2 linked regions of the Callithrix jacchus genome follow. The protein of the gene in region 2 interacts with the protein of the main gene of each other region in a pairwise test. Links are inferred from orthologs where the notes say so. Each region holds a gene or a part of one and is shown on either strand. Other genes may lie near its edges.

Region 1 (3,653 bases), on a different chromosome or scaffold from region 2:
TATTTGCCACTGTAATAGCAACTAGCATTTTACAGTTTTTTTTTTTTCTAAATTTTTGGGGTAAACATAAAATTTACCATCTTAACTATTTTTAGGTGTACAGTTCAGTTAATGTTAAGTACTTTGTGTGACCAATTACTGTGCAACTAATCTCCAGAACTCCTGTTCATCTTTCAAAGCTTTGTAAACTCTGTAACCCATTAAACTCCCCATTACCCCTTCTTCTTAGCTAGTGACAACCACCATTCTTTTTGTTTCTATGAATTTGATTTCTTCTTACACCTCATATAAGTGAAATCATATAGTATTTGGGTTTTCTTGGAGCAGGGGGACTGACTTATTAATGTAATGTTCTTAGCTTCTCATGTTTTATCAAGTGTTAGAATTTCTTTCATCAGAGTTTTAAATATTTCGTCATGTATATATATACTTTTTTTTCATTTATCTGTAGATGGACAGTTGGGTTGTTTCCACCTTTTGACTGTTGTGAATAATGTTGCTTTTAACATGGGGGTGCAAGTATCATTTTTTGACATTGACTTTTTATTTTTAGATGGGCACTCTGGTTTTTTAAAAATGATAAAAGCAAAACTTGGCAAGCAAACCTACGGCTGATCTCTAAGTTTGATACTGTTGAAGACTTTTGGGCGTAAGTAACCATTTGTTTTATAATGTTTGTTGTTTTATTAGCTGTGTAGTCTTTTTATTTTTAAGTTGAATTCACAAAATGAAGTGTGAGGTGAACAATTAATGAATGTTCATCTTTTTTTATCTCACAAATGTTTGAATTGGTGATTATGCTTTATTAGTTTTATAAAACTTAAATCTTGTCATCCCTCAGCCCTGATTATTCTGTTTCTTGTCCTGAGGTATCCTTTGCTCAGGAATCCTTTATTGCCCTTAGAACTTTGGACAATTAGTTGGAACTTGTTCTTCTCTTGGTTGACAAGATACATTTGCCTCATAACCAGGTATTCCAGTGCATTGTTGGGTCCTCATTTTTGCGAACTGTTTTTAGTGGAACATCTGGAATTTCCTGTACCACAGATTTTAAGATATCAAAGGCTGAAATGTTTGGAATTCAGGGTTTGTCAAGGGAATGCCAGTATCTATCATGATACTTCATTCATTTCATTATACTTTGATCAGTATCAAGAAGAATATTGGAAATATTTTTGAAATTTTGTTTCTGATATAGCAGAAAGCTAAGAATTGGGATCATCAACTTTTGTATGACTTCAAAGCAAAATTTAAGACTGGGCTCAGTGGCTCATGCCTGTAATACTAATACTTTGGGAGGCTGAGGCAGGAAGATCACTTGCGTCCAGGAGTTCAAGACCAGCCTGGTCAACATGAGTTCCTGTTTCTCTATAAAATATGTAAATTGTAACGTCTAAATTAAGAAGTTTTGATAATTGATTCTCTTAAAAACAAAGTTAATCCAGTGTGTCTAACTTATTTGGAGAATGAGTAGGGAGGGACTATTTGAGACCATGAAAGACAAAAGTCTTTAATAAGCATAAAAGCATTGAAACTTAATAATAACTACATTTAGGTCCTAATAATTTATAGGTCTAGTTGTCTAGTTAAACTAGGGTTATTCTTCTTTGCCTGTCATCAAACATCGGGTAGTTTTTCTTATATAATTATGTTTATTTAGAACTTTTAAATAACTCCAGCCTTCTGCACACACACACACACACACACACACACACACAGCTCTTCATTCTGCTACAGAGGAAAAGATTCTTAAGAGTTGCCAATTTTTTAAAAACCAATTTTGCTGTAAGTGATTACAGGAGATCAAATGATCTAAGCCTCTTGCCTTCAGGCAAGCGACTGAGTCATTGCAAATGTTATTCTGTTATTTTGATATTTGGGAAATAGTTTAGAAATACAGATTCCAGGGTTTCATTTCATATTTAGGTGGTTATAATCCCAAGAGGTAGTGCTTGGAACTATATTTTTCTAAAATCATTTTTAAAATGATTATTGTATTGACTGACCAGCGTCAGTTAGTGGTGTTTGCGAACCATTGGTCTATTCTCCTCTTGGATATTCTCGAGGATAATAATGTTGACTCTTTTAGCCACACAATCCCGATGGTCAGGAAGTTCATCTTTTCTGTTTTTTTTTTTTTTTCCTAATGTGTTTGTGAAAAAACAAAACTGTTGATTAATTTCAGAAATTATTTCATTTACTTAAAGCCACCATATATCTCTCTTCTCAGTTTCTTACATACACACATATGTATGCACTGAGTTAACTAACATATAAAAATATATTTTTGTCAGATCAATCACTAGAAATTTTTCGAAAATTATACCTGTCATCTGAAGTTGATTATTGAACTGCTTTTAAGATCTGTTTTGTCCATTTAAGAAATTGACTTCTTAGAAACAAGTAGACATGAACTTTTATCTGTTTATTTTTCATATTTTCTAAATGTATATATGTGTAAGCACCTAAACTCTGTATTACATATTCTGTGTTTTTAATTCTCATTTTCTTTTACCTAGTCTGTACAACCATATCCAGTTGTCTAGTAATTTAATGCCTGGCTGTGACTACTCACTTTTTAAGGTATGTGTAATTGGTGATTTTTATATATTTATTATAGGACTGGGCCATTTGGTAATCATTAAGAAATCTTGCCATAAACTTAGGAGTGTTTGATAGTATGGTGAGCTGGCTGATAATTTAATTGGCTTTAGTGTGCTTTAGTATAAATATATCTTACTCTTTTTGTTTATAAAAATTGAGAGAGGGTTATTCTATGGGTACCATACTGAGATTGATTTTGATGAGCGCTTTGATTATCCAGTCTACTCCTTCCTTTATATATTTGAGCAGACTGAGTTTACCAGGCATTCTTAACCTTAGGAGCATAGGCCTTTGGAATACTTATTATTGGGCCTTGTCAGGTGTAGGGACAGGACATTCATTAACTGAAATTGAATAGTTTTTGCATGTATTTTCTAGGTATAGAAGTGTACAGAGCTTCTAAAATATGTTTGCTACTTAGAAAAAGAACCTTCAAATTAAGTGAGACTCAAGATTTACTAGCTAATAAGTGACAAAGTCAAGACTGTAATTCTGCAGTGTCATGCCTCTGGCATTAAGTTTTATGTGCTTTTTAAAAACTACATCAGCGACAGCTTTATGGAGAATAAACTGAGAAGTTAACAGTGTTGTTGCTCATTGTTTCTAATGATTATCTCTCAAAGTCAAGGTAACAATATTGTGTAATACTGGTGTCTTCTAATCCTATAGGATGGTATTGAGCCTATGTGGGAAGATGAGAAAAACAAACGGGGAGGACGATGGCTAATTACATTGAACAAACAGCAGAGACGAAGTGACCTCGATCGCTTTTGGCTAGAGACAGTAAGTTTTTAAAAGTATAAAGCAGTTTTAGAGGTAGTTTTGGCATACTGAAACTTAATATATGTTACATTTTACATATGTTACTTGATTTAAGAGGAGGATGCCCAGCACTAGAAAATCAGGGTCAGTAATTACTTTTGTTCTGTCACGTGACTTCTGTTTATAGTACAGTGAAACATCCTACCATATTGTAAGTCAGATATTTGAGTGATTGGCAGTTGACTCTCACCACCAATTTTGTGATCATTTCATTCCCCGAAAATTAT
Region 2 (3,653 bases):
GCCAGTTCCATTGTCCTCAATCATTCTCCCGGGGCCTCCTCAGTAGGTTCTCCGTCCTGTGCTTCCTCAGTTTCTCATCTCGCTTCTCTGTGGGACTCTGAACTCCACGAAGGAGGGAGCAATTTCCTCCTGTTTATTGCTGTGCACCCGGGACCCAGCACTGAATTGGTTAAGCCATTTGCTGCCTCTGGCTGTGAGTTCTGCTCACTGAGAACTCAGTTAACCCAGTCACCTGTCTTCCCCCCACTCACACAGCCATTCAAACAGCAAGAGAACTAGAGGGACACTAGGCACAGGGAAGGGTCCCAGACATGCATACGTCCTCTGTGTCCCCCACCCCTCCATGGGCCCTGCCGGAAGTTCTTCCTGGGATTCAGGAAGAACTCTCCCTCTCCATGCAGAGTTGGTTTCCAAAGCCCTGGTCTAATTTAAGACCTCGGCAGCAACCCTCCAGGTGCAGCTGAGAGCCCTTCCTGCTCCAGGCTGTTTGTACCTGGGGCTGTCCCTGAGCAGTGGCCACAGGGTGAGGGCTGTGCCAGAGCCTCAGGGCAGGGGGCATGACTGCCCTTGTGTGCATCTCAGCCACCCAGTTATCACTTCATTCATTTAACAGCCTCATCTGGAGGATCTACCTGGGGTGGGCCTGGGGCAGAGCATGAACAAGACAGACATGGTCTCTGCCTACATGAGACTGCCAGCCTGGGGGGAGGGGGACAAATGAGTACACAGGTACACAACTACAGAAAGTGCTGTGACATGATTAAATGAGTGACACCACTGGGCATGGTGGCTCACGCCTAGAATCCCAGCCCTTTGGGAGACTGAGGTGGGCAGATTACCTGAGGTCAGGAGTTCAAGACCAGCCTGATCAACATGGAGAAAACCCATCTCTACTAAAAAATATAAAATTAGCCAAGCATAGTAGCACATGCCTGTAATCCCAGCTATTGGGAGGCTGAGGCAGGAGAACCACTTGAACCCTGGAGGCAGAGGTTGTGGTGAGTCGAGATTACACCATTGCACCCCAGCCTGGGCAACAAGGGTGAAACTCCATCTCAAAAAATAAATAAATGGATGACACCCATAGAGGCACACTGGGGGACCAACTGTGGGGGTGACATGTCTGGTGAGTGAGGAGGGGATGGGGAAGAGGATCCAGGCCTTAGAGAGAGGAAAGGCGCCCCCTCCCACCACATAACTTGGCTCATGGTCGGTGGCTGTGTAGAGAAAGAAGAACGGGAAAAGAAAAGAGGTCGTAGGGGCCAAATCACCTTGGAGCCACCTGTGGTGCCAGCTGGATCCTGTCCTGAAAGAATGGGAAGCCATTGAAGGGCTTTAGTTTGGATTGTCCAGGAGAAAGGCGATGGTGGCTTGAACTAGGGCAGTGGCGGCAGATGGAGCCCAGCGGATGGGTTCCAGGCTGCATTGGAGGGGACATCCCAGGCCTTGCAGGTCATTGTAAAAGAATGGGCCACAGAGGGTTCCCAGGTGGATGGGGTGTCATTTCCAGAGACAAGAAAACCTGCAGCGAGGGAGGTTTGAAACGGGGGTGGGAGCCATGGTGATTAGACATCCAAGTATAGACAGTTGGATATGTGAGTCTGGAGCTCAGGTGAGATCTGCATATATACAAATTTGGGTTCTGTCCATATATATTTGGGAGAATGTGTGGATGGAGCTGGGATCTCACCAGTTGGTGTTGGATGGGAGGGGGAAACGGTGAAGGAAATTGGAAAGGAACAGCCCAGGAGATGGGAGGAAAACTAGCAGATAGAGATAAAGACAGACACATGCCTGTGCACTCGGCGGTGGGAAGGCTGGCAGTGGCTACACGTTGAGCAGTTTGAGAGTGGTGTGGCGATGGAGCCAGGTTCCCGTGGCTTGAGAAGAGAAGTGGGGTGTGGACGTTAAGACAGTTCAGAAGTTTCCTTTGGTAGAGGGGACGTGCAGCCAAGCCCTAGGGAGGCTGGCACGTGGGTCACGTCCCTCAGCCCTGCCTCCTCCTCACACTTGCACCAGGCCACATGGCTCCCGTGACAAGCAGGCTGACTTTACCGAGCCATCGTGTGGGCTGGGCGCCGACGTGGGTGATCTTACTGAGTCCTCCTCTTAAGCTTGTGTGGCAGGTGCTGTCATCTCCATTTTATAGAAGAGGAGTCTGAGGCTCTAGGGGCTGAAGTGGCTATCCAAGGTCACATCCAGGAAGTGGCAAGATCCCCCCACTCATCCCTTTGTCGGGTCTGCTTGGGGGCCCTGTCGCCTGGGGATTGAGGCTGGGCTCTGCGCTGACACCGCCTTTCCCTGGGAAGGGGCTGAGCTGACAGTGCCCTGGAATCTTCCCCTTCTTTCCCACAGCGGTTCCTCAGCGACTATGGCCTGCAGTGGGTGGGTGAGCCCATGGACCAGGAGGACTCAGAGAACAAGACAGTCTCAGAGGATGGCGAGAGGGACTGGATGACGGCCAGGAAGTTCTGGAAGCCAGGTAGAGTAGGGCATCCCCCAGGCCCTCTTCAAAAGGATTTCTCCAACAGCTTGCTGTTGGCCAGCAGCTCCCCAGAGGCCCATCTGATTCATGCCCTGGCCCCCCACCTGAGACGCCCTGGAGAGACCACACCTTGCCCCTGGCACAGTGTAGGGGCGGCCTCAGCCTCCATCAGCACTTAACCTGCTGGCCCATTTCTCCCTAGTCCCGCCTCTGCTCTCTCTTGCTTATCTGTCAAAGACCCAGAGATACAAGAGGTGGCAAGGCCTCATTTGCCTTAGGTTGTATAGTCACCCATCTAGAAGCTGTTGGCTTTTATAAGCAATCCTTCTGGCCGGGTGCAGTGGCTCACACCTGAATCCCAGCACTTTGTGAGGCCGAGGTGGGCGGATCACCTAAGGTTAGGAGTTCAAGACCAGCCTAGCTAATGTGGCGAAACCCTGTCTCTACTAAAAATACAAAAATAAGCCATGTGTGGTGGCACATGCCTGTAATCCCATCTACTCAAGAGGCTAAGGCAGGAGAATTGCTTCAAGCTGGGAAGTGGAGGTTGCAGTGGGCCGAGACTGCACCACTGCACTCCAGCTTGGGTGGCAAGAGTGAAACTCTGTCTCAACTTAAAAAAAAAAAAAAAAAAAAGAAAGCTCACGCCTGTAATCCCAGCACTTTGGGAGGCCAAGGCGGGTGGATCACGAGGTCAAGAGATTGAGACCATCCTGGTCAACATGTGAAACCCCGTCTCTACTAAAAAATACAAAAAATTAGCTGGGCATGGTGGCGCATGCCTGTAATCCCAGCTACTCAGGAGGCTGAGGCAGAAGAATTGCCTGAACCCTGGAGGTGGAGGTTGCGGTGAGTCAAGATCGTGCCATTGCACTCCAGCCTGGGTAATAAGAGCGAAACTCCGTCTCAAAAAAAAAAAAAAAAAAGCAGTCTGTTCTAGAAACTACTCCCAAATTCCCAGGCATGGCCTCCCTCTCCAGGTCGCTATGGCTGTTGGAATCCACCTACTTCTGTGGGCTCCCACCATGTTTTGTTTTTAACTTGGCCACTAATATCTAGAGGGATTTTCCCCCCACAGTCCCCTCCTATGGATTTGGGTCCATAGAACTGGCCATTTCTGAAAACCAGGCCCATTCTCTTCAAAGAATGGAGATTGTCACCCAAAAGA

The links. The genes of interacting proteins can lie anywhere in the genome.
Region 1: the proteins of UBXN11 (region 2) and EIF4E interact in binary tests that used the Homo sapiens proteins (3 or more experiments, as listed by UniProt). The link is inferred for Callithrix jacchus from reciprocal best matches to the Homo sapiens genes UBXN11 and EIF4E.

Annotation. Positions count from the first base shown.
Region 1 is NC_133504.1:98,576,326-98,579,978, forward strand, and holds part of EIF4E (eukaryotic translation initiation factor 4E), read left to right. Parts: intron 1-553; coding exon 554-649; intron 650-2,519; coding exon 2,520-2,583; intron 2,584-3,273; coding exon 3,274-3,387; intron 3,388-3,653. UniProt on the Homo sapiens protein: Acts in the cytoplasm to initiate and regulate protein synthesis and is required in the nucleus for export of a subset of mRNAs from the nucleus to the cytoplasm which promotes processes such as RNA capping, processing and splicing.
Region 2 is NC_133508.1:62,937,964-62,941,616, reverse strand, and holds part of UBXN11 (UBX domain-containing protein 11), read left to right. Parts: intron 1-2,355; coding exon 2,356-2,482; intron 2,483-3,653. UniProt on the Homo sapiens protein: May be involved in the reorganization of actin cytoskeleton mediated by RND1, RND2 and RND3. Promotes RHOA activation mediated by GNA12 and GNA13.